2 linked regions of the Lepisosteus oculatus genome follow. The protein of the gene in region 2 interacts with the protein of the main gene of each other region in a biochemical or structural test. Links are inferred from orthologs where the notes say so. Each region holds a gene or a part of one and is shown on either strand. Other genes may lie near its edges.

Region 1 (11,617 bases), on a different chromosome or scaffold from region 2:
ATCGAGAGCTGGCAGACTGGACACCGCCGAGCTCCCCTCTCCTTCAAATAAAGAGATTAATCAGATTATTCAAGGGGTGCGAGAAAGCACTAACAGGACAAGCGCTGGAAAAACCCTTATTATTATTATTATTATTATTATTATTATTATTATTATTATTATTATTATTATTATTATTAATGATGATGAAGATGCCTAAGTGCCGGTAATCCAGAGTAATATCTGGGCGCTCAGCAGACATTTCGATAATACGAGAAGGACACAAGTCCGTCTCCATCCTCGCTCCCGGCCTCGGACCCGTGATCCTCCCTGTCCTTCGTTTTCAGTTTTCCTTCTCTTTCCTTTTCTCCTATCTTGTCGTTCACCCGGTCTCCCCGTTTTTCCTAGCTCATTCCTCCGCGATCGGGGGTGAATCGATTCGCCTGCGCGACCCCCCCTCAGGCCCGGCTCGCCGGCACCTGCGGCATCAACACACGACCGGGACCTGTCGCGTTTCACGCGTCTCCAACCCCCAACAAAACCCCGTTTGGGTGTTAACGGTTCACATGGTTCAGAAAGAAACGGGCGGCGGGCAGTCGTGTGAGAAGTGAGGTTTCTCACTGTGGCAGAAAGGCACTGTCTGCTTAGCCACGGGCAGCGAGCAGAATTACATCTCACGCGACTCGCGTTGTGCTCATTTGTGATCTAGAGGAGCAAAGAATAGGGACGACTGACGACTTAATTAACCCTAATAAATGTTTCGATGCTTCTCACTTCGAGAAGAGGTTAAAGGAGTCAGATGTGAGAATAAGATAAAAGGAAAACTGGAAACGAAGGTCAGGTCGTTTTCTGGAATTGCAAATTCACGTTTTCTGGAATTGCAGATTCACTGGAGTTTGCCTTCCAGTGAATAAAGAAATCAAGGTTTTTTCAAAGCACCCGGATTTTCCTCTGCTATAAAATTCGTTTCCGTGTTTGTGTGTTTCTCGGCTCAGAAAATAAAAGTGAATTTCTGCGACTCCCTGTCTGCTGTAGGGCCCGGGGCGCGAGTCTTCGACACAGGGAGTCCTTAGAGAGATCGCTCCGCCAGACCGATTACAAATAAACCCGGACCGTGTCGAGTCTTTTCTTACTGTCTTCCTAAACATCAATCCCTTCTCCAAAATTAAAGCGAGATCGAAATTATATTATGCCAAAATACCGGCGACCCGGCGAGAGAGAGGAGTAATAATTTCTTCCTCGCCTTTGTAATACTGCATGTATACTCCTCTGATCTCGCACTCTTAGTTCAAAAGGGTTTCATGTGATGAACTTCAAATGGCTCACTCAGGAATGTGCCCACATAAAACTAGGATGGGACAAAGTTTCAAAGCCCTTCAGCGAAGACCACGAATCGCCGCACTTTTTCGAACTGTGGAGCACTGTGTCGTCTTCCGACTCCGCTATTTTTAACGCCGAGAACGATATTCGTTTAATTTCTCTTCGCACAAAGTAAAAAAAAAATACTTTCACGGCGGGTTTTGGGAAGAAAGGGAAGGACAAATATCTAATCGAAACGTTGATAGAGGCGCTCGGACCTGTAGAGCAGCTGGACCTGCGCCGTCAGCACGCAAAGCACTGGAAAGTCAAGTCTTATGTTGAACACAGGATATGACCACTAATTTCCCCCTGTGCCCCTGACTGATGGACAGTGTATCACAGTGTATCTCTGTGCGTGTGTGACCTCCTGTCCGGTGCTGTTTTCGACAGGTCTGTTCCACAGCGTTTCCGCGGTGTTTCAGTTCAGACCTTCGATGTCTCACCGAATGTCGCGCCTACACGCGGGGACAGCGATCTCGATCGCGATTGTCGGCGCTAACGGACTTGACGCTTCAGTCGGGTTCAGCAGACTCCTCTTTTCCCCCTGAAGAACTGCCCGTGACAGGGAAGAAAACAAACGAAACCCACCGCTCCCACGCCCGTCTTCTTCAGCCGGCGCGGCTGTTTCGCCACACCACGCGGAAGACACACGCATTGTGTGCGCGTGCAGTGGGGGGTGTAGGGGGGGGTGATACACTTTCCTCCTCACGTTTCTAATGGACTGGGACCGGGAATCCCCCAAGGACAATACTCCCCAGTTGCAGTTTGAAACCCACTCACCCGTGGGGTACAGACACCCCAACAGGCCTAAACTGGGATTTCAATTGGAAAAGCGCTGCAATTAAGACCGCGGGGTGAATACGGATCAAAGGAGGAATATTTTACACAATTCGTTTCGGGAGTGTCTTTGGAGGTCATCCGCGGTCAGCCCTGCCTCTGGACCGTCTGTACCGAGCGGAACCACAGGAGAGACGCCGAAACGCGACGGCGTGGCGAGCTGTCCACGCCTCGCGCTTCCGCAGACACGGGAGCCGCGCGCCCCACCTCCTGCTCGTCCCCGCGAGGCCCGGCCACCCCGAGAGCCACGAGGGGCATCGACAGCGGGACCCCTCCCCAGACACGCGCACGCCCGTCCTCTCCCTCCGGGAGGAATTTGCGCTCCGACGGCGTCGCCATCGCGAAGCTTCAGTTTGTGTTGTTTTTGTTATGGTTTTTTTTTTTTTGCTCCGAAACGCTGTAAAAGTTTACAGGCAGCAGCGTCGAGCATGAGGCTGGGCAGTTCGGTAAACAGAGTGACCCTCCCCTCACCCCTCTCCCCTCCCCACCCCCTCCTTCACCACCACCACCACCGAATGCACGGTTGTGAAACAGCACCTGGTTAAGACGCAGGAGTCGGCTCGTCCCCGGCGCACCTGAAGTCGCCCCCTCGGAGGCGCGCTCTCGCTCTCGCTCTCGGGCGCGGGCAGGGTCTCGCGGCAGCGGCGCTCCAGGTGTCCGCGGGGCAGGAGGGCATACCCCCCCCCCACACCAGGCCCAGATCCCCCCAGAGCCGGGACCCCAGGGGCCGGAGAGCGCAGCGCTCAGCCGGCGTGCCGAGCGCCCGTCCGGGAGCGTCTGTGAGCGCGCCGCAGAAGAAAGCCCTTCAGCACCAGCCCGTCTTTCTTTTCAACAACACGGCTGTTTTGTTTTGTTCCAGTTTTTTTTTCCTTTCATTAAGAGGTGGTGGTAGTGCGGGGGGGGGTCAGCGGCGGTGATCACATGATGTCAATTCACCTGAGCAGCGAACAAAGAGGGTACAGACAGGAGAGAGAGAGAGAGAGAGGGGGAGAGAGGAGAGAGGGAGAGGAGATTCACTCACAGGCCAGGGGACACTCTCACCAGGCCACACACTCAAGCAGAAAGTGGGATTCTGGGGAGGAGAGAGAGGGAGCACATAAGAGGTATTGTTGACCAGCACAGCGCCTGTGTTTGTCTGCATCCGGACCTCAGACCGCACTCGCTGCCTAGACCCGGCCCGGGACAGAGCCAGGAGCCATCCCGGGCTGGGCCGTGTCCGTCCGGCGGCTCTGGGAGCAGGGAAGGTGCTGTGGCTCCTCTGTGGGGGCTGGGTTTCCTGCTGGGACGCAGGCAGGCCGTTCCTCCCCGCACTCTGACAGGTGCTGTGGGCTAATAGCACTGGGCCACTCATACAGCTCTGCACACAACACACAGCACTGGGCCACTCATACAGCTCTGCACAAAACACACAGCACTGGGCAACTCATACAGCTCTGCACAAAACACACAGCACTGGGCCACTCATACAGCTCTGCACACAACACACAGCACTGGGCAACTCATACAGCTCTGCACAAAACACACAGCACTGGGCAACTCATACAGCTCTGCACAAAACACACAGCACTGGGCCACTCATACAGCTCTGCACAAAACACACAGCACTGGGCAACTCATACAGCTCTGCACAAAACACACAGCACTGGGCAACTCAAACAGCTCTGCACACAACACACAGCACCGTGCGATTTGTATGGTACTGCACAAAACACACAGCACCGTGCGATTTGTACGGTACTGCACAAAACACACCACTCTGTGCAATTTATACACTACTGCACCAAACACACCACACTGTGCAATGTGTACAGTACTATACAAATTATACAGCACTGTGCAATTTATAAAGTACTGCACAAATTAAACAGCATTGTGCAATTTATACGGTACAGGACAAAATACACAGCACTGTTCAATTTATGTAGTACTACACAAAAAACACAGCATTTTAAAAAGTATTGTCCAAAATAAACTGCTTTGTGCAATTCATGCAGTACTGCACAGATCATAAAGCACTGTGCAATGTGTATAATAGTGCACCAAATGTGTAGTGTTGTGAAAATAATACAATAGTGTGTAACACTTATAGGACACTCACGTTAATAACATGCCAGGACTAATGCCATTCCTGGTGATTCAGAATGTTGCACAAGAGCACAGAAATCAGCTCTTTCTGTTCTGCTTAAGGACACCAACTCAAAACTGGAAAACAAGCCGCTGTTTCCTGGAAGTGCCCAGGGAGCGTTCAACTCCCTCCAGTGTGAAATTCCACTCCGTGAGCTCCTTCTCCCTGGGAAGCCACACGGATCTCCACCCTCTCGGGACAGTCCCCCTTTCCTGCATCCAGACCCACGGGTCACGGACAGGGATAGCGCCCCTGTTCCCCCACCCATCCTTAGTGGGACGAACTCCGACAACGGTTCCATAAGCAGCCGGCCTGTGGCTCCGGCCCCCTGGAATGAGGGAAGGGAAAGGCCATTCATGCGGATCTCCTCCAGTGACATCAGCAGAGCCGATCCAGGACACCGGAATTCCGAGGAGGGATGTGCACCCCTGGGGGAGACAGGGGCTGCCGGCTGTCCCCCAGTCTTCACCCAGGTGAGGGGAGCGTCCTGCAGTCAGAGGTCTAGAGCCTGGTCAGATCACACCCTGAGCCATCAGGAGCCCTGGGGGGCTCTGTGCACTGTACGCCATTAACCTCCCACTCCAATTACCCCAGCCCCCCCTCCTCCGCCCCGGGGGCATCATCTCCAGGATGACACATCAGACACGCCAGCTATCTGTTCCCAGGCCCGCCGCTAATTAACTCTCTGGCCCCTGGCAGCTTCAAAGGAGCGCAGAATCGCAGCCCCCCGGCTGGGCCCGGCAGGGTGGAGAATCGGGCCCGGCCCGCGATGAAGTAGCGAGCCTCCCGGCCCCAGCTCATTCCGACGTCTCGGCTCTCCCCCGGAAAACCAGAGGCGGATCATCCTGCCAATTCCGGCCTTCAGCCCTGGAGTGTAAGCAATCTCAGACACTGCGGCCGGGCCCGGAGCCTCTACCCACAGGCACCCGCTCAGGGCTCTGTCTCGAATCCTGAGCCTTCAGCTCGGGCCCCGGGGGCCCCGCAGCCTGGTGTCGTCTTGCCCAGCGCCGGATGTCCCCCCTGCGCTCTCCGCACCCCCCGGTCCGTCACGGACGGTCGCCGAAGCCCGTGCGCTTGGCTCGCCCGAAAAACCTGCTCGCCCCGTGCGAAGAGCGTGGTGCCATCGCCATCCAGTCCGAACCCTGGGGTCCCCCCCCCGCGTGGCCCTCGTGCACCCTGACGCGCCTGCTGCCCCCTCCCGGCGGGAGCCAGCAGGGAGCCCTCGCTGACCGGCGGCACTCTGTGCCCAGACAAGCGCACCCCCACTCGTGCCACAGGACAGCCCCTTGCCCAGTGCCTTCGCTGGCTGGGCGACCCGGAGCGTTCGAGCCGCTGAACCGGTGGGCTCCTGAGGAACCAGGAGCAGCTCAGCAGCAGCGAGCGTCAGACCCGACCAGGGTCACAGGGGCGATCGGCGGTGCTGCCCAGGAAGCACGATGTGCGATGATCCCCGACTGGCACGTTCAGACTTCTCCAGCGAGCCAGGGGAAGGAGGGGGATTTACTCTGGGGGTCCAACGGGCTGGGGGGCCCCCCAGAGTGTCTGTGTACAGGGTGCACTCGCGAGAGACCCTCCTGCCGGCCCAGATGGGTCCCGAGGCGGCGGGTCGGACTGGGGTCTCCAGCCCCACTCTGTGCCCCCTTGCGTAAGGGCTGTGCTGAGCTCTTCCCACGAGCGACTCTATTAATAACTCCCCTGCCGCTGGAGCTGGGGAGAGAAACGTTAGGAACCGCAGAAGATCGTCGGCGTTTCTGGCTTCCAGTCACTATAAAAAGTCACACACTCTCCAAAACAGGAGCTGATAACTTCAGGAAAATGTAGATGAAGATTCTGAGATTTTTTTGCTTTTAATGAGTGAGTCGAATCGAACAAGCTCCTCATTCAGCGCACTACTCTGCCACTGGACGTGCTTCTCTCCTGGAGATCCCAGCCAGGGTCCCAGTCCAGGATGAGCCCCTACATCCCAGAGATCACAGTCAGGGTCCCAGTCCAGGATGGGCCCCTACAGCCTGGAGATCACAGCCAGGGTCCCAGTCCAGGATGAGCCCCTACAGCCTGGAGATCACAGCCAGGGTCCCAGTCCAGGATGAGCCCCTACAGCCTGGAGATCACAGCCAGGGTCCCAGTCCAGGATGAGCCCCTACAGCCTGGAGATCACAGCCAGGGTCCCATGCTGGATAAGGTGACCATTCTCCACTCAGGAAGTAAAGACATTGGGTCTCTTCAGTGGTTCCTCAGCAAGCGATGCCACGTGTCTGGAACCTGATTGAAAGCCCTTTATCACCTGACTGCCCACTGATCACAAGTAAACGTCATCACTGAACCTGTCTGTGCTCATGGACAGCCTAGCTCCGCTAGGATGTTTATCTCTTTTGTTTTTGCGTGGAAGGGCTTTTTTTATTTTCCTCCCAAGAAGGCAGATTTTGCCCAAGCAAAACCACCATCAGCACATTACATTTTGGGGGCTCGTCAAGTTGAAAAAAATAAAAACAAGGTGACAGAACTTCTGCGCCCTTTCGCCCCGCCCCTTCCTCCCCCTCCCCGTAGCCCCGCCCCCGCCCGCCCCGCCCCCGGGGCTCCGGCCAATCCGCGGCGAGGCGGGGGGCGTGGCCCGGCGGCCCGGGCCGTTCCAGCCGCTGTTCCTTTAAAGGTTTCGCCTCGGTTCCTTTTCAACTTTTTTTCCCCCCTCCCCTCCCGTGCCCTCCCCCCCCCCCCCAACCGCCACCTCACCCCTCCCTCCCGCCTCTCGCTCCGCACACAACGGAGCCCTTTAAGCCGGCGCGCGACACAGAGACGGCATTCATTGGGGGTAGAGCGAGCCGGCGCGAGGGGGCTGGGAGCGTCACCGGGAAATTCTAACTCAGCGCTCGTGCGGAGAGGAGCCTTCTCGCGCAGCACAGTAAGAGCACCGCTGGTGGGGTCTCTCTCTCTCTCTCTCTCTGCGTGTGTGTGTGTCTGTGTCTCTGTGCATCTCTCTGCCCGTCTCTGTCTGCCACTCTCCGGCCCCGGAGACCTCCAGCTGCCCGGCCGCGGGTCCGATCTCCTGCTTCCTCCTGCTTTCGGGAGAAAAAAAACGACACAAAACCGAGACAGATATCAGGAAACGTTGCTTCGTGCATGTTGTTGGCAGAGGAGGGCAAAAGCAGGGCAAACAGGACCCAAAAGTGCAAAGGGCATTATTACTATTAGTATTATTAGTATTAGTATTAGTATTATTATTGTGGTTGCTGTTGTAGTTGTGGTGGTTGTTAGCTGCGGCGGTCCTGTTGTCGTCGTGGTTTGTGTTGTTGTTGTTGTCGTTGTGTTGATGTTGTGATCGGTGCCGCTGGCGCCCCGGTGAATGGCCGGTTTGAACTGACTGAGCCGAGGGCTCGGGTCACCGGAACCCCGACACGCCAGCGGGTCTCGCCCCGGGGCCTGTTTATTTGTACCCGGTTCGGTTCTGCCGGACCTTCCAGTCCCCCTCTCCGCCCCACTGGGGCCGGGCTTTGGGGCCGGTTCGGCGGCCCGGCGGAGGGTTCCGTCTGTCCGAGCGGTCCGGTGGCGTCGGAAGGGTTAAGGCGAACGTCAACTCGATCTCGTTGTCACAGTCGTTGAAAAGTCTTTCTAAATGGTGACAAGGAGAATATGCATTAATATCATTAATTTAATATCATACTATCAATTATGATAATATTCTAATTCATATATTATTATTATTATTATTATTATTATTATAGTCTCTCGAACAGTGACAGCCCTGAAGTAATGTCGTGGTGTCTTGGGTCAGAGAAACACATTTCCGTGACAATGACACGTCCTGCTGCCCGGGGCCGATACGCAGAGCGGGGCACAGGTGGTCACTGCTGGTGGGCTTGCTCACGACCGGGGCTCGGGCTCACCTGCGGTCCGCTGGGCATGAGGAAAGGTTCCGACAAACGGGGCTCCTCTCTCCCCCACACTCCGGTCTGCCCGGACCGAGAAAACTAACTGCAATTGTACCCGGCCTGTATTTGCGTGGGCGACTTACAGGACATTTTTTACGAAATAAATAAATACTTACATTGCGAGTTCTCCGAAGTTCAGACAGGTCCGTGTGTGAAACTTTTAAACAACAGCCCTGTTATGCCCGGGGTTGTTATTATTAAAACTGATAAACACGAATTAAGTGTCACAGAATTTCTGCTCGTTTCTGTCAAGACGGATCTAAAATAAAAGTGATTTACGTATTATATATATTTATCTCAACAGACACTCAATAGGTGCAGTCTGTCCACGTACACTGCGCTTTTACACAGTTATACTGCTCGATTCTCAGAAGTTACAAACCTAACTGAGCCGGATTCATCGATTTTAGTTTCTCCGCTTATTTCTAAAAATCCCTGCCAAGGCCAGGGCAGCCTTCACTCTGACGTGCGGGCAGGACAGACGCCCCGGTTTCAGACGGAAAACGCCCGGTTTTGCTTTGTCACGCACAGAGAGGACATTCCCGCAGCACAGGGGACGAATAAGCAGCAGGAAAAAGAATACAACAGAAAGAAAAAACAGAAAAATGTCAAAGCGTTACGTGACAATAACCGCCCCTGCAGTACCTGTTGAAAGTGTTCGACACGAGGACAGCGCCAAACCGCATTTCACGAGCAGCGTGGAAGCTGGAAGGGTTTTCTAACAATATGAATACCTGAAATTTATTACTTTTAATTCGCAAATCAGTAAATGATTAAGGAAAAATGGTCGAACGAAAAATAATCTATAAACAGGTGCTTCGATTAATACGACAATGAAAAGTAAAATAACCAAGTTCGAGTATTAAAGGTAACCGGGGGGCCAAGTTCATCATCGTTTCATCTTCATCGTTGATGGTGATTCTAATTGCGAGTGAACGATAAAAGCACTATGGGTACCCCAATTCAAACCCTGAATCTCGGGGACCTCCCCCCGTATTTACAGAGGGCGGTCGTGCTCCGTGTAGATTTATTTCCCGAGCTGTTGGGACGCTCCTGCGCTCGGAGAGACCCGGTCGGTCCCGTGAGTCGGGATCAGCCGCTTGGTCCCGGTGGCGCTCCGGACCGGGAAGGGCCGGGCCAGGGACAGGCCAGGGACACAGCGACAGGCCGGACCCGCCCAGGACCTGCGCCACCGTCCGGCTCCTCGGAGCTCTGCTTTCAAATAACATAGCGGCGCAGGACAATTGCCCTCGAACTCAGGCTGATCATTAATTTCGCGATTAGCGCCCTGTGGAGCGGGGCCGAGAAGGCAGGACGTGGGATTTGAAACGACGCCCGAGACATCTAAAGCGTCACACGAATGAACCGCTTAGTTCTCCTCGGCAGTGGACCGCAGGCTGCGGTCCGACGCTGTTCGAACTTCCGGGGTCAAGTTCCTCCTCCGAACTGGGCTCGCGGGTCTTTTGGCTCGAGGGTCAGCGATGACCCCCGTTCCTCGCGGCGTGGCGCTCCCCCGTGGCTCCCTCCCGCTCACGGCGCCCACGGAGCCCCCGCGACACCGCGCCCCGCCCAAGCCTTCGCGACCGTCCCGCCGAGTTCAGGACTCGCTTTCCCGTGGTTCAACCCCAGGCTTCACACCGGCGTGGGGTTAAACCCTCGTCAGGGCCCACGGCACCCAGGACAGGGGAGTGTGCGTGTCGGAATAATACTTCGTGATAATAATGTGATAATACTTCGGGCACAAGGGACGTTTTCAGAAGCACCTACAGGCGCGAAGACCAAGCACTTGTGCAAAAAAAAACACGACACTAAAAAAATATTCGGACTCGAGTGGCGTGTGATCTGGGCCGGGCGCGCGGACAGTGCGGTCACGCTCACTGCAGCGCGAGTCTTCATTAACGCCTAATTGGCCGGAGATGTTCTCCAGCCTCCCGTGTATCCCCCAGGGTCATTCATTAACAGCGCTGTAATTAATCCCTCACTCCGACACCCCGGCGCTACCGGGGAGAGGCGGGGTACCGTCCCCCCAGAACACACAGTGCGCGTACGGGGTCCCCCCCCCCCCCAAGAACAAGACACAGTAGGGGTACAAAGTCCACCGCCTGAACCCCTCGGTAGCGCCCCCGGCACCAACACGAAGCCGGGAGCGGGGAAAAACCGTGCGTGACACGATCCACGCTTGAGGTGAGAGCACACGCACACGCACAGAAGAGGCGATGAGACGGGCGGAGCAGAGCAGACCGTACAGACTGGGTGTGACACAACAGCCGGTTACGTGACGCACGAAGGGGATTTGATGTGACGCCGATTTACACCTGACGTCACGTCTCGCCCGTCCTGGACCCCATTAGATCACAGACCCGTGCGCGCGCCGGTGGGGGGGGGGGTCGGACGACCTGCGCGTGAAGCTCAAGGTGCAGACGAGTGTCGACGAGGGAGCCGAATTAATCGCACGCGTGGGTCGCAGGTGGGCGCGTTATTTCACATTCGATGAGCTCGACACCAAGGCGCGAAATCCGGTTTCGGAGTCCACGTGATGAGTATGGCAAAACTGAGCAGCCGTCGCCGGAACCCGTCCGAGCTCCTCAACTGGACTGACGCGAGTCTCGCCGTCTTCCAAACACGACATGCTTCCTTTCTGGAAATACCTCGGGACACAGGGACACGGGGGGTGTTCCGCTCCGTGGCCGCTCGAACGAAAAGTCAAAACAGCACAGGAGAGGACTGCGCTGGGAAAAAACCCGAACTGAATGTCTCTTCAGTTCTTTATGCTGTAAGAATGTTGGAGGAAAATAGTCTGTTTCATATTAAGGACAGAAAAGTCCACATGATCCTCAAATTGAAACAGTCCTATCTTTCTAACAGACGAATTAATCATTTTTTGTTGGTCACTAATCATGAATATCTCATAATGCAGTAGTATTGATCAAATTAATCATATTATCGCAGTGCAGAGAATCATTCCCCGTTTCTTTGGGCCCTGTAAAGAGTTCGGGAGGCGAGGCGGCGGCCCGCACAGCTGGAAGGGGGGTATTTTACCTTGAGCGTCTCGTTTATCCCTGCTCTCTCTCTCTCCTGGGTGAGGGGGTCCGTGTCTGTGCGAGAAACAGGAGCGAATTCCTCTTCCTGTGCCTGTAGCTCGGGCTCGGCGGCTGGCCCCGCACACACACACACACACAGCCGGCTCTGTCCGCCGCGGCTCGGACCCGTGGACTGGGCACCAGTCCCCGGTGAGCTGGTCAGGACTGCGAGGCCGTCGACAGCGGGCCGGAGCGGGACTCGACACCCCGGGCCGCGGCCTGCCCGCACGGCCAGGCCATGTGAACGGCGGAGCTTCGAGTGAGGAGGATCCGTTTCACCGGGCGGTCGGCTTGTCGGCTGCCCACCGCCC
Region 2 (11,648 bases):
TTTTAGGCTATATGCATGTTCATCTCTCATTTTGCAAACATTTTCAAGAAGCGCAACAGGTCTTTATAAAAGCTGACAAATGCTGTTTCAAACATGTTAAATTAACAATGGGGTGCGCATGAAATGGGATGCTTCTGCTTCTGCTTTTTAAAGAATGGTTTCAATTGTGCCTTTGAATGGCAGTCGGCATCTTTAGACGACCTAAAAGACTCCAAAAGAAACATTTTGTAGGTGAAAACGGCCATTTTTCCACGGTGGAGAGTCCATAAAACTGCTAGGAGCTGCAGCTATTGGAGATCACTGAATAATTCATCCCTCATTGCAAGCTCATAATGTCTTTTCTCAGCCCTTTGTTGGCCTGCTTTCTCTTCTTTTCTCTCTGAATTATAAAAAGGTTGCCTTCTTTTGTACTGGCCAAGCTGCTGCGAGCCCGGGCTTTGTCACCGAAAAGCTGAAGTGTGAGTTTCAATGGACTCTCTCTCCTTTGTTTTCCAAGTTCATCTCCAAGTGTTGATTGTGTACTGAAGGCCGGCTTTGTAAAAGATGGAACAGTTGTACAAATGTTTGATCAGCTCATTTGGGACTTTTTGTCTCCTCCCTGGCCCGTTTGCAGAAATATTTAAGTACAGTAGCCGCTAAAGCCAACAACCAGAAAATTATTAGTGGGTTCAACCGACTGAATCCTTCGCGTTTTTTTTTTAACCAGAACATCCATTAGACTTTAGACTAGGCTCTGGATCGCAAATTACAAGCGCGTTCTTTTGCAGTAAGGTCGAGTCCGCGATATTTCTGATACCTTGACACTGTATCAATATGGACAAGCAGTCGATTTGATTTTTAAAGCGCCCGCCCTCGAGTTGACGACCGTTCTTTTAAAAATCCCAGCTTTTTTTGAATCATCAGATATACGAAGCATTCAAAATATACCTACATGAATACTGCCAAACGACACGAAGAAAGACAAATGAAACACTCCTTGACTTCGAACGGACGATCATTCCTAGGACTTTTTCCTAACTTTTTTTAACAACCGCAAGATAAAAAAAAATGATTGGGAGACCCACTCTTATTAAATGACACCTGATCACTCTGTAATGTACAAACCAATAAGTTAAGCAGGGAAAAAAAAACCATTATCACTGCGTTCGTTTTTTTTTTTTTGGTATCGAAAAGATATCCGAGTCTACGCAAACGAAATCGGTAAAATTAACAATTTTACTTCTGATGTTTATATAGGATGTTAGTATTGTCTCTCAGTAGTTTTTGTTTTCGTTTCGATACGCATCACACGCAGTCACTTTCTAAATGACTGCCGTGTTATCATTCCATGGCTGGTGTCCCGGCCTAACACACGCGTGAAGGCATCAACAGGTTTCGAGGCCGATAACAGTTTATCCATTACGGGAGTGCTTTGATGTCGCCTCTATCACCTCTTGTTTAAATTACTCTCAACACTTACTGAAAACATTTACCACCTGACATGACAAGCTCTCAAAACACAACGGTAGGAAACTTCCCACACACTGCACTGAAACGCAAGTGCCTTCTAATTCGATTTTGTTTCTGGGCTACATTACAATTACATTTTATTTTTAAACCCCACAAAGACATTGATAATATCGATCGTGCTCTCACGTATTACATTATTGCGCCGAATGTTAAAATATTTTTTCGAAGCATACATAAGACCTGCTTGTGACAAAATAAATATCCACAATAACTTCCTTACATTAGTATACACCAGATTAACTACTTTTATTAACAGCAGGCTAGCTACATTTACTGAGATACTACTTTAATCACTAGATATCCCTTTTTATTTCTCAAAATAAAAGACACAACTTACATCTATCTCCAAGGATCCCATCGATACTGTGTTTCGTTTTCTTTTCATTTTCTTCAAACTCTTTTCTTTCGATTTCATCATCATCGTCTTCATCTTCACCCTTGCCTCCAAATTTACTCCTCATAATTCGACTAATTGAGCTCACTTAAACAAGTAAAAAGTAACGAATTAAAATTAATAAAATATATTCCAAGCCATAATGCAATTGATTGCAATTTTATATAGAGTAAAATGTTAATTACAATAAAAATAATACATTTTCACATAAAACAATCCTACGTACATCCATACACCTAATATGCTCCTGTTTCAATATTATACAGGTGTGGAAAAAACCCCACACAGGAAAATTTAACAAAAAACAAACGGTTAAAAAAACACCTGTTATATGCGGTTTAGGAATTTTGGATTTCTATCTAGGCGTATACATATACATTTGGATTTCAAATTAAATGTAGCAAAAGTACAGTGTAAAACGGAAGTTTTCAAATGAAAAGACTTAACAACTAAATGAAAATTCGAGATACTTTTGATTTTATTTCTTGTAACTATAAATACATGTTTTGCCTTAGCAAAAAACAATATCCACTGACTGTGTGTCTATCCAAAATAACGAAACAAGAATTAAGTGAGTTTGCATTGAAAACATTTCTTGAAATACCTGAGGGGACAGTATTTCGGTCACAAATTCCATCCTTCAGTAATTTATCACGTATTTCCCAACTAAACATCCCAGGATTGTCTCTCTTATATTCCTCAATTTTCTTCTCCACGTCTGGCGTTGTCACCTGCTTTAAGTGATAAGAATTTACAATAATAACAATTCTAACAATAATGAAGAGCTATTGATTGTATCGATTGCAACACTTGTCGCGCATTGCATGGAACATTGATGTGTTCACGTGCTGATTATTAATACTTTTTAATTTATTAATTCACGCATTAATACCCTGTGGAAGAGTACACTTTGCAGAAAAAATATGATCTCTCCATTATATATGCATACAGTTTGCATCAGACAAAATAATTTCCACTCTTGATGCACTTTAAAAGAATACAAGTTTTTTTGTAGTGCATTACTTTCGGGAACACATATCAATACCGACATATATATATTATTGTAGGTATGAATTTATATTATGCATTTCCACACAAAAAAAAACTGTAAACACTGTCACATTGTGAAGTGCCATTTAGATGAGTTTTAAAACTTGAAATCATGGAGTTAGTTCGAAGACGGAAATTGATGACGTGAGATGCCTCAAACGTTGATATAACGGCGTTAACATTTTAAAGGACTCTTAAAAGAAATGTCTGGATATCACGATTTCTATATTCTGCTCTACTTAGAAAAAACGTCTTCCTGCCTCACCTTGGGCTTGCTTCCGCCGATAGCTCCGGGTCGGATAGAACCTGTCTCTTGATACCTGCATAGGATCTTTGACACACAGCCGTGGGACACTCTGAGCTGGCGTGAGATGACACAGGGCCTTATACCGTGATGAGCCATTTCCACAATTTTGTGCCTGATATGATTTGGTAAAGGTCTGCCGTTTATGAAAACTCCACCAAGCTGATTTACTCTTCCTTGACCTAAAGGGGTAGAAACTTAATAAAGAAATAAAAGTGATAACGGCTGTCAATTCTTCTAGATCGGTATAACCATTTCCATTTGTTAACATTGTTAATTTAAAACGTTACATTTTAACTGCTTTCGGTTGTTGGCTTTAGCCTATCAAGGCATGAGATCTGCTATTTCAAAAGACATTTAGAAATAAATTTGTAATACGTTTAATACGTATGGATTAAATCCGAGCCAGTATTAGTTAATTGTGGCAACACTTGCTTCTAAATTACTGATGTATAATATTTTGATTTAACATATTTGAAAACATCTCACATTTAACAAACGAACGTCCAATTTGTGGAACGAATTTAAATTGAATGGACAAAACAAGACAACATTTTTAAAACACGTGTTTTTTTGTGTGTTGTTAAAACAAATACTGTAGTATCAGAAATTGGCAGTTTTCTTAAACATAGCAATAATTTATAAGTTCTCAGAAAACGATGCATTTGTGCTGTCCACTGTGTCTTTTCTTATTGTTTTTATAACATGTGCATTGTCCTGTAACGGCATGTAATTATTAATAACAACAACAACAACAACAACAATAATAATAATAATAATAATAATAATAATAATAATAATAATAATACAGTTGGGATTCTGCAACCCTTTGAAAATGTCAATTTACCTTCAAGTGGAAATCCGCTACGCGGGTAATTCTGCCCAGGCGAGGGTCTCATCATCCTTGGCACTGCCCCAGCTATCGCTGTCATGTCTTTGCGCACTTCGATAAACTTGTGACCTTGCGTTTAAGGTGTGGAAGCAGAAAACGCAGTAATGTTTCTTTTTTCTCTCTCTCTTTAAAAAGTATCTGTAGTCCAGGCTGCAATCGTTTCGCTCTTATGAAGCTACGAGACGCTTCCTTCTGTGCCAAATGATGTAATATCCCCCCCCCCACCCCCGCACAAAAAAAACTTTGGCAAAAGTAAAAATTCCCGACAAGTTTACCAAGTGCGGTGCTCCGCGGTCCTGAAGATCTAACAGGGTTAGATCTGTCACTAGATGAAGAACTTCATATACTAGTGGCGTTGTTGTTGACACAGATCGAGGGAATGGTTCTATGGGCAATAGTGAAACATTTAATAGTTGTTGCACCCCTTGCTCCATCAGGTTTTTCTCGCCTCTGATTGGCTAAAAGAAGGAATGTCCCGGTTAGAGAAAGTGCAGCGTGATTGGTGGATGTGTCAACTTTCTTCTTCCATGACTCGGTTTCAGAGTCCTGAGCATATTGTAGTCACAGTGCAACGCATTGTCTAAGAAGGTATGTGTGAGATTCGGGTGAGAACAGATACCGATTTCGTGTTATCAAGACCGGTCTTTAATTACAGATATGATCGGGCAGCTGTGCGTTTCACACCGGACGGGCTTTGCCTCGGGTTGTCGTTATTATAAGGGCGAAGAAATCGTGCCTTCTCCCACTCCCAAGTTTTCCCCGTTTTCGAATTAGTAACGAAAAGAGCAAAAGATGCCTGCAGCTTACTCAGAATCCGCTTACAGGGGTTAGGTCTCGCAGAGGTCATAAAATAAATGTGTTGTAATTTAGAGTCTGTCTCCACTAGCGCACACACACACACACATATTCTAGCGTTTGTCCATTCTTAGGAATTTATAGTAGCATTTAGATTGCACTGGACTAGTTAAAATAAAAGAAGCGAAATGTCTGACTAGGGACTGGAGGGCCACAGCAGGATACGACGCCAGGAGTGCTGTAAAGGCTGTCTGTCCCCGAAGAAGGTGCAATTGTGGGGACCCTTTATTTATAACTTCGTAAGTGCCAGAAAACTCATCCCTTTTTACTTCGGCAGGGACGTGCCAGCCCCGTTCACCACAGTACTCATTATTTGGGGAAGCCTATTCACTTCTCTGTCAGTCAAGAAACTCGACTTATTCAGGGCCTTAATCAATCAAAGGGATGGGGCTCGTTCACCGTAGCCTGTAGCCTTTGAATTCAGCCAAACAAAGGCTTTTCGAGACGAACTATCGAATTTTCCCAAATGTTTCATCGGAGGTGTTAAAATATCCAGTTTTAGACAGCACCCCCCCCTTGTTGTTTCTGCTCTTCTGTCTTATTGGGCCTTTTTTGTTGAAGAGTCAACATCTTCGCTAGCTGATAACCTTCCCCCCCTCAATATGGTGAAAAGCAATCGTGCGTTAAATAAATGTCCAGAAGAGAACATCCAAAACGATAGGCACTATGAACCTTTTCGTGCTGGGGAAAAAAAAAACGTATCGAAAACATTAAATTCTCATTCATTCTAATGTGGTATAATTGTTCTTGCACTGAGCGCAGCGCATTTCACGGTCTGCAATAGAAGCGCGTGGAGTCTTTTTGCTAATTACAGAGCTTTGGGCGACCCAGGTGCATTTTAAATGGATTAGCAATTACACCATGGCCAAGCTGAGACTCCGACTACACGAGTGGGGATAGATTCATACAAAGGAGTAACAATGGCAATTAATATTCTATAAATTACGTTTTGAAATTAATTTGTGGAAACGTTATAACGTAAACAAAGTTTTAATAATGGATAAACGGAGACGTTAAAAAAAAAGTTAGGTTGGCCATGTGTATCCTCCTTTCAGTCGTAATAGGGTTTCTCACATTGAAACCCGAAACACGAAAAAGGTCCTGAAGTTTTCACAGATCTGAGACAGAGTGATCAGAACATTGTGAATAGATGCAGGTGATTTCCAAACATTTACTGATTATAATGGGAGTTCTGAATACCGAATATATAATTGGCATTAGTTTAATTGGAAACTACATATTTTGCTTATGGTAGTTGCCTGGGCTTCGATAATATTGAGCCTGAATTCAGTTACTGTAGATCATTTCTGACACTTAAGGATGAATTTACTTGCAATAACATATAGAGGTACTGCCCCTGCTGTGCCTATAACATATGTATATACTGTATTTGCTAAAAAGAATTTACAGGCTAGGTTTTTGCTGGGGAACACGACATTTGCAGTTAAAACGACACCAGACGGTTTTTTTTGTATAAAACGCATAACACCAGCCTTTAATTGGGCTTTCTTTGGTGCTTTGTCCACTTTATAAAAACACAGCAGGGAGAGGCACTTGTGAGCACAACCAAACACCTAAATGAAGAAAGATTAAAAGACTCTCAACCTCAGAAAGGTCAATTAACATTTTACCTTTTAAAAATGTAAAAAGATACTTCAAATGTTTTCCTTTTTGTGAACACGAGACAATGGAAGAAAGTGAGCCAATAAGCTAGAAACGGGGTTTCTGTCACGTGTTAACAAAGTAGTTCTCTCTTTACTGAGACATTTACAATTTAGCATGTAACAACTGTATTCAAATAATAATAATGAAAGTTGATTTTAAATTAACGGATTAAAAAGTGCGAAAATGTCGTTTACGTAGTTAGGACTACTTCTAGTATCTGGGAATTCGCTTATAAATTGCTGAAAAAGTAAACACTCTCAAAGTATGATTAAGACAGAAATATTAAAGTTGCAAGAAACTCTATTATAGTTTATAAACGACCCGAAACCTAATTCTAGAGATGTAACGAAATTATACATTTTAAGTTATTTTAAAGTAGACCAATTTATTCTGTGAAAACAAAATGTTCAATTTGATGAATAACATTAGAAATTAGGAGCTCCGGTGTGATTTTAAAGTGCAGATTGTCGTATTCTTTAGAAATAAAATAAGTTTTCGGCCCTTGTTTTTTTTTAAATATTTTTTTAAATCCTTGAGTCATTTCATTAAAGTAGACCTGTTATAAACACGAAAGATCCATTTCTAAAATATTCATGTTTTTTTTTGTCTTTAAAACGCCAGAAGGTCATCGGTAACATACAGTTTGCTTAAAACCTCGACTGCTAGTAAAATGCATAAAGTTCTTGTAAAACTATTATGTGTTAATTTGCAAGGGGAAAACTCTATGCGCAGCTTGCGTTTTTGTATAGATTATTAAAACTCCTTAAAATATTAGTGAAAAAAGAAAACTGAATTTGTAGTCGCAAGATATATGTTATTCAGATATTGTACTAACAGACTCGTATTATCGATAAAAAGATTATACTGAAACACAATATTACTATATTAAGAATAAAAAGTCATATGACAATCTTTTTCCTTATTTTCAAAAGTGACATTTGATCCCCATGGCTAATGGATTAACGGGAGTGATATGCTCAGTTTTCAAGGTTTGTTTTATGTACAGAAACCTAATTTCAGTATATAAAAAAAAAAACAGAAAACCCATTATCTCAACACTTGCACATAAAGACTGGTTCATCTCCATTGCACGGCTTGCCAAAATGTTCTTCTTAGTGAAGTTCAAGATGATAATCATCTCAATATATAGTGGAAAAAAAAACATTTGGTTAGTTTCAATGTCTTTGCTGTTTCAAGGACACAAGAATCGTCTTTTACAGTTTGACTTTGCCTACAGGCGAAGGTACTGTATGGGACCAATTTCACCGTTTCTGGGTCTACATTTCATCAAAACCAACTACACTATGAGCATGAATGTGTTCACTTTCTGTAGAAGTAGAATCTTCCACTGTCATTGTGTGACCGTCTATACTTTGAGAGTTTTTGGGGTCTGTTATTGTGCTTTTTAAAAAACTTCAAGCCAGACTTCAATCCGCGAGAAAGTGTACCTGAAATCTGGAATTGGTTGTGTGTATTCCATCATGCGCGTCACTTCTTCGCCGGGGATTGGGAAATAGGCTTGATTACACCCTGCGTCGGAGAAGAGCAGACTCAGACTTGGAGATCTTGAAAGATGAAAACGGATCAGGTACCAAGAGAACTGAAGTTTATTTTATTCTCTGTGAAAAAAGAACATGACTTCTGAAATCTGTCCAGTTCGAGAACTTTTCCCTCTCTACCTCTCTACACGAAGACGTTTCACCTAACGCAGGTAAAATCACGCATACGTTTTCATTGACTAAAGCATTTTTCCCATCTGTATATTAAGTACATTTTTATAATGATATGCAAGCATCTTTTTTATGTATGGTAGATAACATTGAAATAAACCAAACTTAATATGTAACCCATTTTTTATGTGAATAAAATTCATTTATTGTGTCTTTTGAGGCGAGATAACATACCTTAGGTTAAGCTACCGGTAGTCTAAATATCGACATATTATTTTCTATACAAGGTAACTTCTTAGTATTCCTGTTTGAGTATTAATTAAAACTACCACTGCTAACTTTGTCTTCAAAGGCTGACAAGAAAAAAACTATGTTCACTCGATAACTCATATAAACAAACCACTTCACAATTTTATAGACAGATCATTTTGAAATATTATCAGTCACTAAAATAACGGTATCCTTGTAGTTAATATCCTTATTGATAACATCTCTTTAAAAACACTTTAAGCACTTCAACGATTTAAAAGTGACATTTAATTAACACATTAATTATACTCTTTATTGCAACAGTGCATTCCTATATCTGCTCAGCAGTGCCTACAATTTAAAACGTATTCAATTGCACTGTCTCTTAAGTAGGTTACATTTTAAATCCACATCTAGCATTTGCTTTTCGGCGTCTTGTTGCTTTAAATAAATATGCACTGAATTTGTCTCATTTTTGTTGTTAGTGAATTTGTTTTTTCTTATGAATTTCTATTTAGTCACATACAGTATAGTTTTTATGTTTGAACGGTAAAAACCCCAGCTTCTCTGAACTGCACAATATTTCTTCTCTAAAATGTGTAAAACCGTAGTAATTGAAATCCACCAAGCTCATTAAAGGGTAGCCTATTGCGTTAGTGCTTCGTATATTAGGCCTCTCCTGCCCCAACGCAAAAAAAAAAATGTTCAGTTTCACGTCATACACACAAAGAAGTATACCTAGCGATGCGTACGTGTAAACGAGTATTATTTAAAATTCAGCACGTTTTATACTTATATCCCGTGAGCAGAGTTAAAAGACATTAGCAACACACTTCCTATCTCCTCAACATCCTCTGCCATGAGCCAGCGTCTGTTAAAGAGCGTCTAGTCCAGTGCAGCATATACAAGGATGACATAGTTATTCACACTTAACCGATTCTGTTTAAATCTCATGTCCCCGGGCAGTTCATACGCCCTACGGTCATTTCCACGCGATTCATCTGGATATATATTTCATCCCAACCAGCCTGGGATTAACAGGCTCCTTAAGTGATTCAAACTCAGTGGTTTTATTTTAACTTGGGGTGAGGGAAGATAAAAATGACATCCTCAGGCATCTCGTGTCTTCAATGCCTGGTGTGCTGAGTTGATTACACAGCCTCTGCCACCCCCCAGACTCGCACTACTCTCCCCTTATTCACGACCGAAAATGCTGTTTTTGATCCTTTTTCCTTCTGACCAGCAAAAAATGAGATTTTTTTCAAAAATCTTTCTCTCCCCCCGCGATGACAGTTTTTCGAGGTGATCGCCTCAGTCAGCCTGGAATTTCCAATGCAGGTTTCAGCTGAAATCACAGTAGTTTGATGTTTTAGTTCCCCTGCACTCGTTCTATGTCATAAACCCATAGGATGACTATATTAAAAAAAAAAAACAGATTAGGCATTGTCCATTACATTAGATCGGGAATAGTCAGTGACAGTCCTCGATGTCCAGAGTCAATTTTGAACCTAACACTTTAAATTCTAATTAATAGCTCAAACTGCTAAGAAGTCAAATCACCTGTTTGTTGATCAGTTGCTAATTAACCATCCCTCAAAAACCTGTAAAGACAGAATTGATTGTCCTGGCCCTCGACTTTGAACTGCTTTGCAGGCTTGAGTCTTTGTTCAAGCCCAAACTATATAAGCGGTGTATCTTTTTTTTTTACTAGTAGCCAGATCTATCCCGTTGTATTCCATTGGACAAGAGTCTGTTCATAATTTAATTCAAAACAAATTCTTAATTTAAACTAGATTTTAAAAAATGGTATGGTTTTGTCTCCAGGAAGTACAGAAGAATGTGGAGGAATCCATAGGTTAGTTAGTGCGTGTGTAGGTTTTCTTCTCTCATAACTTTGTTGTGTCTTGTTTTTTGTTAAAGATATTTTGCTTTTTAGACACACTTGACCTGCAGTTCAAATGTTGTTCACGTGTTTACACTACCAACTGCTGCAGACTGCATTATATATGAAGTAGTGAAATATTTTTATGGAAAGCAGACAAAGCCATATTTATATGGATGACTTGTAAAACTACATCCATAATATAACAAATGTCAATGTAAATTTTAACTTTGGTAGTCTATGGTAGTAAATTACAGCACTCATTTTAATAAGCACTTCAAAACCTTCTATGTCAAGTTTTATGCACTGAGGAAATATATGTTGATGTTTTCATTTAGCATTTAGGTTTTGACATTTAAAATAAAACTTTCTATGATGGGTTTAGATTAGACAGTATTGCATACCAATTGGACTAACAATATTTCTGTTATTTTAATTCGTATGCTATACTTAATATGTTTTTGGCAATGTGGACTGTCCTGGTTTTACCTCTTAAATGTCATGTATAGAAGATGATATCAGCAAGAATTATGATTTTGCATTTTACAATTCAAACTTATGAAACCCTGTGGTTTGAGTTTTATAATTCCCTGGCTCACCAGTCATTCCAAAGAATAAACATTTATTTTCTTTGCATGTCCTGTGTAGCGCTACCATTAGTATTTATGACAAAGAAATATTTATAGCTGTAAAGCAAGAAGTATCTCTTGAATAAACTGAAATGTTGTGGACAGAAAAATCTGTCTTTGATACAACTAGCTCATGAAAAGCCTTGCACAACTGGCTATTTTCAGATACTTAAGTAATTTTCAGAGTAATGTTGAGGTACTTTATTGTAAATATAATATTATTTTGTTTATTATAGCATGCTATTAGAATTTGGGTATACTACTAAATTAAGTTAAGTTAATTAAATTAAGGTTTAGTAAAAGATCCAGTAATTATATTATTTAGTAGCCTTTCACAGTGAAACGGAGGAGAGTCAAACCAAAGTTATATTGTAATGCACACTGGTGTTCCAATTCACAACAGCCATACAAAATAAAACCATGGAAAATGAGTATCAAACTGTCACAGCCTGGCTAATAACTGGATATTATCCCTCCTGGGAGTGTGTGGGTTTTAGTTTGGTAATGGTAAACTGAAGAATTCTCTTGTCATTGGCTTTAGCCTTTCCA

Evidence for each region.
Region 1: the proteins of pax3b (region 2) and sox10 form a complex in vitro, tested with the Homo sapiens proteins (2 studies listed by BioGRID and IntAct). The link is inferred for Lepisosteus oculatus from reciprocal best matches to the Homo sapiens genes PAX3 and SOX10.

What each region holds. Positions count from the first base shown.
Region 1 is NC_090707.1:38,710,445-38,722,061, reverse strand, and holds the start of sox10 (transcription factor SOX-10), read left to right. Parts: upstream 1-7,015; 5' UTR 7,016-7,199; intron 7,200-11,617. UniProt on the Homo sapiens protein: Transcription factor that plays a central role in developing and mature glia.
Region 2 is NC_090708.1:7,060,794-7,072,441, reverse strand, and holds the start of pax3b (paired box protein Pax-3b), read right to left. Parts: upstream 4,536-11,648; 5' UTR 4,190-4,535; coding exon 4,105-4,189; intron 3,455-4,104; coding exon 3,219-3,454; intron 2,638-3,218; coding exon 2,508-2,637; intron 1,991-2,507; coding exon 1,847-1,990; intron 1-1,846. UniProt on the Homo sapiens protein: Transcription factor that may regulate cell proliferation, migration and apoptosis. Involved in neural development and myogenesis. Transcriptional activator of MITF, acting synergistically with SOX10.